Linked DNA regions of Kluyveromyces lactis. Each later gene encodes a partner of the first gene's protein in a complex. Links are inferred from orthologs where the notes say so. Each region holds a gene or a part of one and is shown on either strand. Other genes may lie near its edges.

Region 1 (5,108 bases):
ACAAAAAGAAGAAATACAGTCTTTACTCCTATGGGCTAGGGTATACTTATTCGAAATGAGCAACCTTCAAGATCCTTTCGCAACAGAAATGAGAACAGTAATCTTTTTTACCTCATCGCATCGCATCGCATCTCATCTCATCTCAAATTTAATTCTTTTTCAATATCAACACCGAAAACCAGAAACCAAAAAAAAAATTATGTTAGCTACAGTGGGCTTGTTGCTTTTTGTTTCGTAAGTTATGATATTTAAGATGAATCTTATAAAGGTAAAGTCTAAGTAATGGGCCGTGTGCATTTTATACGTGCACCGTATGCGTAAATAAAAGTCATTAAAAGTTAGAAGTCCTTAGCGAGACTGAGTCTTTTCCATAGAGCTTAGGTCCATCTCGATGTCATTCAACTTAGAATCGATATTGTCTATGGACATACCAATAAGTTTTCTGAACTTTGATATTTTACTATCTGAAACCAGTTGATCTCTAGCGTATTTGATATTCCTAATCATTTGTCTTCTCTTGAACTGCTTGTAACACAATTCTACCATCAATTTTATGGATTCTTTCTTTTCGAATTCATTAGTAGCTTCCGTAGATGAGTCCTTTGAGAGACAGTTTTCCTCATCCTGTACTAATGTAGCAAGTGACAGCGCTTGCGACCGCTCCATATAGTTATCCAATTCAATGTTTTTCATCTTCAGCTGATTTTGGGCGGATCCCAACGTATTTCTATTATTTGAATCGGAGAGTGCCTTTTCTCTTGCGTTGGTGTGCTTCAGTTGGTTCTCGATCTCTTGGATTTGCTCTTCTTTCAGCTGTATACTATATTGAAGATTATCAAGATTATCTTCAATTATGTTGCTCAAAGATTGAGTAAGAGAACCCAACTGAGCAGTAGACTTGATGGTTGGAGATGATGATTTTTGTTCTTTTCGTACTCTTTGAGCATCAGGTCTACGTAATCTGTTCACAGGCTTCACTAATGTTGGTGGAGATGGTGGATGCAATTTAATTGCTGGAGTTAAGGATCCTTTCATTTTATCAATTGATAAGACATCGTTACGGTCGACTATGTTGTTTTTCCTAGTTGAAGTCTGTATACTATCCACTGTGGTGTCATTGAAGTCGTATTTGCTGGTGTCATCTATACGCTCTTCTTGACTGTTTCGAGGAGTGTTCGCCAAGAAAGTTGTCTTGGGTGGAGATTGTAGAATCTGGGCAGGAAGCGTTGGTTGAAATATATTTGGAACTGTGAAACGAGACAGTATCATAGATACTGTCTGATTTTCACCGTTAAGAATATCTGGTGACGCGCCGAAATATACTAATTTCTGGCATAAATCAACGTTCTTATTGAGGGCTGCTAAATGTAAAGGGGTATTTCCCAATGTATCTTGGTGATTGAGTGACATTCGCAGCAGTTTCTCATCCTCCTTGGCAAGTGTATCCAATATAGTGTCCATATAATACTCTATGACATGAGGTTCTTTGGACCTGTTTACTGTCAGCTCGACTAGGTAGTGCAAGGGTAATCTATGATTTGCATCTGGTGTTACTAGACATGGATTTAACATAGATATTATTTGTTGGAAAGAAACGGCTTTGTAACAATTGTTGTAAAAGACTGATTTTGTCAAACAATTGAAGCCCTTATCATTACAACGGAGAAGATCTGCGTCTTGGACTAGTAGTACTCTAATCAATGGAATGTTTGACATAGCGACAGCCCAATGTAAAGACGTATGTCCTTGGTCATCGATTAAGAAGTTTATGTCCAAATTGGATGGAGGCCTATAAAGTGCTTCGGGTAGCGTAGGTTCCACGGAATCGTATTCTGAAGATAAAACCTCCAAAATGAGTTCCTTATAATATTCTGTGGACACACCGTTCTTATCATGAGCTGATGAGAGTGGAGTTGGTGATTCTGATGAGCTAGACGAAGCTTTATCGTTGGAGGAGAAAACTTCCATTGAGGATCCTGTGGATGTAACGTTTGAGATCATAGACCCAGAAGAATGCCCCATATTATTACTGCCAGCATTGCCCTGCGTCATTTGTTTTAGTATTTTCATGTTATGCTGAGATTTCATGTTAGAGTTGACTGGCACTGGAGCCACGTTGTTTGTAACAGGTACCATTTGTTGGAACTGGTGTGTTTGTGGGTATGGATAAAATTGCAAAGGTTTCTGAGTAGTTTGGTATTTGATTGGATGGTTTGCTTGAGAAATAATATCAGGATTCACCTTACTGACCGGTACCATTGGAGTATCTTGTTCAGAAGCCAAATTAGGAAGCTTTTCAGTACTTTGGTTACTATTTTGACTCTGATGATGATGTTGCTGTTGAGGTGTTTGAAACATAACATTGTGTAAGGGGGACGGTTGAACTGGTTTATCCTTTTTCCCAGATCTCCTTATAGATTTTTTCTTCATTGGGGTCTTTGCATTCTTCTTTGGTGTTTTCTTATAAGCTGATGGTGATGTAATCCTTGCATTCGGGTCCAATTTCTTGATCTGAGATACTTTTGATCTTCTAGGAGGCATATCATTTGGATCAGGAATAAATTCTACAATCCTTTTGACAACCTTATTGTTAATATTGTATTTTTCCACCAGATATTTAGTCGATTCCCAGGGTATCCAGGTCCCCTGGAATCGTCCATAACCACCCTGAATCTTTTCATGTTTAATTTCATTGGCCTCTTTCTCCAAGATCTTGGTTCTCTGAGCCTTTGTAAACGAACCGGCTTTGAAAACTTGCGTTATGTTCAACCAATTATCGTTGCATCTTCTCATGATAAGGCATGGAGGTTTATCTTTGGTATAACATTCATATACATCAACGCCCGCGTATGTAGCAACTTCAATGAAAGTTTCCGATTCGCTGTCATAACCACTTGTCTCCGCCATAGTAGGTTCCTCACTGATTTTCTTTAAACTCCCATCGATCTGCCTTTCATCGATCATCGAAGAGGATGCTCCCGTGGATGAAGAAGAATTATTGGTAGCACCACTATTAGCTCCTAATAAATTAGAATTGAACGGTTTCAAAAGTGTATCATTCTCAGAATGATGATGAGTGCCCATGTGCATTTGAAGGATAGATTCCTTGTCAAAAACGTTGCCGCTATGATGCGACAAGTGTTGTTCCATAATTACACGAAAGAAATAAATGCACACGAAATCCTAATTGTTTTAGACAAAACAAAGCAAAGAAAAGCACGCCAGAGTCAACAAAGCGTTTCGAGTCGAGTGTCACCTTCTGCTGCTGCTTCTGCTTCTGCTCCTGGCAATGTGATCTCAAGCTCGCTCACTTTGTAAAATTCAACGTAAAATATACCACGCAGTTACGGTTATTCTAGCTTTTCCACCAGTGCCCAAAAATGTATCCAGATATCGGAGTAGCAGACCAAATCAATCTCAACTGGAATGCTCTGATATTTAGCTAAGTTCACGTAGCCTACAGACACTGTTAATAACAAAGGTATACACAAATCATAAATGACATTGTAAAGTGCGTGAGAAAGTCTGCTTTCAAAAGATTATAATCTTTATTTTAAACTGTGATCAAATCTCTTTACCCAATTGGGAAAAGAAAGATTAGATGCCTCACCAAAAAAAAAATCTCAGATCTCACATTTCAAACCTCACTCCAGTGTGTTCCCATATTCAAAGCTGAGGCAACCTTTCAAAACGCCTAGAAGGGTCCGTATGACACGAAGGAGTAGGGGGGCAGAAACAGTCTTAAAAGTGAAAAAATAAGAGAAAAATCAATAATCAGATTATATTCACGTGTCAGTATTACCCGGGACACTCACGTGATTCGAAACTTTTAAGTGTTACCCGGTAAATGAATTTTATGAAATGTCGAGAATGCTTTTTCCAGCTCAATGAAATTTGGAAAAACTGAAGTTATATTGTAATTGGAATTTAAATATTGTCAATGCAATTGTATGCATTTGGTTCGTCCTACTAGGGAGTGTTACATAACTCAAACTACAGATACGCAGATAAGCAACAAAGTCTAATTCATACTTTTTTCCCTCACATTTTTCCTTCTCCAGACAGACAGAGTCCTAATTTTTTGGTATATTGTATATTGTTCCGGCCCCACCCTTTCCTACGATTAAGTTACTACGGTTTGAGATACCTAAAGAAATACGACAGCACGGGCACACTATAATTGGTAAAACAGATCAATAAGTTATAACATAAAATGCTTCCATTATATTTATTGACCAATGCAAAGGGTCAAACAATGCATGTTGAACTAAAAAATGGAGAAACTGTGGAAGGTACGCTATCTGATGTAGACAATTGGATGAACTTGACACTTTCCAATGTCACTCATGTAGCTAGTGGAGAGACTTTGAAATTACCAAGCTTCTATTTGAAAGGTTCTTTCATCAAGTATGTTAATTTGCAAGATGATATCATAGACAAGGTAAAACAACAATGGGGTCAAAACAGAGGCGGTAAAGACGATAGAAGAAGAAATAACAACTACAATAATAACAATAATTATTATCAGAATAGGGATGGTAACAGAAGAGGTGGTAGAAGAAACTATCAAAACTCAGGTAACAGAAGGGATTACAACAACAACAATAATAATAATAATAATAATAATAACAATACTCACAGCCATAACAATGCAGGATCTCGTCGTTATAATATTCAAAATAGATCACAATACGATGCATCATCCAATCCACAGCTTTCGTATTCGCAGGCGTCAAACAATAGTAATCAAACTCCACAATTTTGATTTAACCTCTTTTCTCAGCATTTAATTCTTAAGTATTTGTGTGTCTACATGGTTACATATTCAATCACTTTTATTGCGGTTAAAGAGACTATTTTGTTGGCTTGGACGGTCAAAAGTCTATAAAAACATCTGTTTCGATTGCATTCGATGCGATATCCTAAACCTTTTTCTCGTTACTCCTTTCACACTTTTGAGATTTAAAACTGAATTTGGGTTATGAAATTAAAAGAACTACCTATTAATTATGATTCAGAGTTAGTGAACCTTAAGTTCAAAGCAGTATATCAGTGCTTTATATATTAAGAGTATGTGAGCATGGGTACCGTGGAAAAGATCAAATGTT
Region 2 (4,220 bases), about 1.4 Mb from region 1:
GTTTCTCCGCCTTCATTTCAGTTGGACTCATTTCTTCCATCACCAACCAAGATATAATATATAATAAAATCAAAGCTTCCGCTCTCATGAATCACAAATAAAAAAACAACAACACCAAACAATTGCAATGAGTTAGTCAATAGATTAAGTTCCACAGAAAGACAATAAAAGTCACATTTATTTCAACATTGCAAGATCGCGTTCTTTCTTTGTTTTTACATTACTGGATAATGTGTTCAGAAAACTACGGATGATATCTTCAGCGTTACACCTTACAGACTTTCAGATAACTAAAACTCTAATATTATTATATTTATGGTAGCCCATATGTAAGTTAACAAACTGATATGTACAATCCATTTATAATGAATATAATCGGGTAAGAGTTGTAGAGATGATTCAACATGGTTTGTTGAGTACTCTTATGTTTAATTAATACAATGCTACATCATGAAGAAAGTAGTCATTGTGTACATGACGATCGAATACGAATTATACAACTAACCTTCCTTGCTTAATGTTTGATATATCACATCTAAACATTCGTCAACATCAGAAACGTCAATGTCAGTTCCTTGAGATATCATTTTCCTATATTTGTAAACTTTAGAGTTGTCTGTTATCACGTCAATAATTTGATTAAGTTTTCGTTTTCGTTTTAATTGAATAAGAACTAATTCCTTCAAAAGTGCTTCTATATCTTCAGACTCCTCACCGTCAGTAGTCTTACCTTCGACATTTTTTGTTTCTTCATCAACAAACTTTCGTATCAGTTTTACTTGTCCTTCTTCTAACCTGTTGATTAGCACGCGCTTGTCTGTGGCAATTCTCCGTTGTAGTTCATCAATTTTTTCCTTCCTATCATTGAGTACTATGTCAACATTGTCAGTTTCCTTCAAATTTAAAGCTTCTAAAAGTTTCATTTCGACAGATGTTATGGTTTTCTTCATGCTCTTTACTGTCCGTTCCATCTGAAGAACTTCGTTTTGTCTTTTCTGATATGCATTCTGATAAGAGTTTGCCATTTCTTTCATCATATTTATTACCTCTGGGATAATTCTATTTGTTCTAGTTGCAGCCTGAGAAGGATACATTTTGTTGAATTCATACGGATCATCCAGCCTTTGCCCTTTTGTTATTTCATCCATCGAATAACGGCCACTAATGATTCCATTAGGTGTCATTCCGCTATTATTTTGAACGGTGGTAAGTGCGCCATTTTGGAGAAGAAGTTGATAAAACTGATCATCCTTGTTCGTTGCAGCATAGTGTAAGGGTGAATTTCCGTCATTGTCTTGTTGATTTATTAATACGTCAATCCTATATTGTGGCGTAAAGTCTTTAATTTTTGATAGTACAACGTCTAAATAATAGACTGCAGAAGGGGTATGACTCTTTCTGCTAACGATCCGGTGAATGACGTTTCTTGATTTGGCATCCAGGTCAAATACAGTATCCTTCAAAATCTCAAAGATCTGCGGATACGTCCGTTTGGTATAACAATTGTGAAAAATTGAAGATCTTATTAGTGGCGTTTCTCCTACGTTATTCAACGATCTGATGGAACTTCCTGCTTTTAGTAGTGCCTCTACAATGGGTAACGTACCCATCGCACATGCCCAATGAAAGGCTGTATGATGTTCGGGGTCAATCCACGTATCAATAAACGGCGAACAATGTAAAGGAGGATTCAAAAGCTCCATCGGTATTTCCGATTCGTTTTGGGTATCATTAGATATGAAATAATTCACCAATTTTGATAGGTATTCGTTTGCTCTTTGGTTTGAATCAGATGGTCCGTTTTGAGATGAGGAAAATTTTGGTAATATCATATTCATTGAAGTCGTACCATTTAATTGTAGGGGAGTTTGCATGTTAGATCTCGAGCCAAATGCAACACTTTGAGAGAATTCACTTGGGGAAGACGGTAAAGAGGAAGAAGAAGATACAGGCTCATCCTTTGTGTTCATTAAGTGTGTGTTATCCTCATGTTTTGTGCCCATAATAGAATTAGGTTCTACATCACTGGAAAGTCCGTCTTCGATATCTAATTCCTTAAATTGGGGAGAAGCTTGATCCAGCGGAGATTTTACATCCATAATCGGGGACAAACTAGTCGCTGATCTGCCAAACTGAGGCTGTAGACTAGGTAACTTTGTGCTCTGGATAGAAGATGATGGAATTGAAGGTTTTGGAAAAACCATCTCACTTTGTGATCTTTGTAATGTTACAGTCGCTTTATTCCGAGGAGGACGACCCCGCCTTTTTGGTGCAGAACCAGGTTGCTGCTGCTGCTGTTGAGATACAGGCTGCTGCTGTTGGGAGCTCGCTTTTTCGGATACCTTTCCAGAAGGTACAGATGCGCTTTTTGTAGCCTTTTTTCTGGTAGAGTCACTTCTGGAAGCATGGTGATGTTTAGGAGCCTGAGGCGGCGAAGCAGAGCCTTCTTGTTGTGTAAAGTCAAATAAAGGTTTAAGCTCATCTAATACTTCGAACTTCTCAGCCAACTTCGAGGCTAGCTCTAAGGGAATCCACGTACCTTGGTATTTACCGAAACCACCTTGAACCTTTTCGTGGGTATCTGTTATGACTTCTTTTTCCAATATCCTTGTCCTTTTAGCCTTTGGAAACTTTGCAGCCTTCAATATATGAGTGGCATTCACCCAATTATCTGCCTTTCTCTTCATTATTGACCCAGTCGGGTGTATAAACTCATAGACATCCACGCCAGAGTACTTCGCAGAATATATTTGATTGGATGACATGGTATTAACTTTATCCTTGTAAAAAAATTGATGCAATATCTTGCACCCGTGCTATGTGTAAGATCAAATTTGGTTCCAAAAATCGATATGATATATCTTAGTCCCCAATTCAGTTTGACAGTATGCTGGTCTTCGACTGACTATACCCCCGAAATATAGCGACTGGTAATGGCGGGTATGTCCAGTAAATGTCAGCAAACTCGAAAAAAACTCAATGAATTTCCAATCAAACCTTGTATGGATATTCAAGGTGTGAAGATCGTCTTTCTCTTGGTTTATATTTTGACTGTTTTGTACCTTTAGGTACTTATCATATGCAATATATAAACAATAACTTGCATTATTTTCGATGGTTCTTAATTCATCAACCAAAAAAAACGTACCAACTTCAACACAACAACTCAAAATGTTACCCGGACATTCAAATTAAAACGGTAACTGGATGCTCTTTGAGCGTATAAGGCTGGCTCTTGGTTGGGAGAGACAGAAAATAGTCAACATTCATATCAAACGCATTAAGCTCATAATTAAATATATTTTCTATTTAAATAGTAAGTTCGATTTTAATCTTTTCCACTTCTTTCTCAGTAAACTTCAGTTGCTCTAAGAAAAACAGTTCAAAAGAGCCGAATTTCAACAAGAATGCGTCAATGAATAGACGCATTGCTTCATATTTTGAAGATAGCACATTGGCTGCCATTTCCTTTGGAGAAACACCCCAAGCAGAAGCTATTTCATGACCGTGGGGGCCCAGAATTGTGTAGAATTTGTCACCACGTCCGGTGATTCTTTGGATTAATCTTTTCTCGGTAGTCAATCCGAGTTTAGTTAATTCATAATCGTGAGAAATGGTGTCAGCGTCAACACCCGCCAACCCTAATATCAACATACCCAAAATCCCGGTCCTATCCTTTCCAGCACTGCAATGAAAAACAATCGCATGTTTTTCATCGACGTTTCCCTCAAGTATGTATTCGAAAAAACGACGAATAACTGGGAGACTGTTCTCTAAAACAATCTCATACGCCTGAGGGAAATTGTAAGAAGACAAAAACATACCTTGATAATGTTTAGCCATTTCTTCTGGACTCAATGTCATGTTATTGTTGAACGATAGATTTTCAACTTCGAAATTCGGGATAATCCCACCTTCAGTAGCTTCATTAACAGCTCTCAGATCAAAAACTCTATTTATGAAAAGATGAGATTTCATGTAATCCAAAGCGGCGGGTGTGGCCTCATTGGGGTTTGCACAACGGTACATAATACCAGGTTTAACTTGTTTACCTGATGTAGTGACGTATCCACCAACATCTCTGAAATTGGAAATTTGTGAAAAATCATAAGGTAAGCACCAACGATTTCTGACATCTCCATGGTTCACGTTCGATTTAATCAACTTATGGGTATTGTAGAATCTTTGTAATTGGTTTTCTGGATTCAAGTATTCAAGCA

What was found. The genes of interacting proteins can lie anywhere in the genome.
Region 2: SWI4 (region 1) and MBP1 share a complex: the UniProt entries of both Saccharomyces cerevisiae proteins name them as parts of the transcription complex. The link is inferred for Kluyveromyces lactis from reciprocal best matches to the Saccharomyces cerevisiae genes SWI4 and MBP1.

The regions. Positions count from the first base shown.
Region 1 is NC_006041.1:1,852,174-1,857,281, forward strand, and holds SWI4 (SBF complex DNA-binding subunit SWI4), read right to left. Parts: upstream 3,151-5,108; coding exon 349-3,150; downstream 1-348. Other genes in the region: U6 snRNA complex subunit LSM4, read left to right, coding at 4,214-4,765. UniProt on the Saccharomyces cerevisiae protein: Part of a complex involved in cell-cycle-dependent transcription. SWI4 and SWI6 are required for formation of the cell-cycle box factor-DNA complex. The repeated element in the upstream region of HO (5'-CACGAAAA-3') is called the cell cycle box (CCB).
Region 2 is NC_006041.1:484,464-488,683, reverse strand, and holds MBP1 (transcription factor MBP1), read right to left. Parts: upstream 2,766-4,220; coding exon 501-2,765; downstream 1-500. Other genes in the region: KLLA0_E05391g (uncharacterized protein), read right to left, coding at 3,310-4,220. UniProt on the Saccharomyces cerevisiae protein: Binds to MCB elements (Mlu I cell cycle box) found in the promoter of most DNA synthesis genes. Transcriptional activation by MBF has an important role in the transition from G1 to S phase.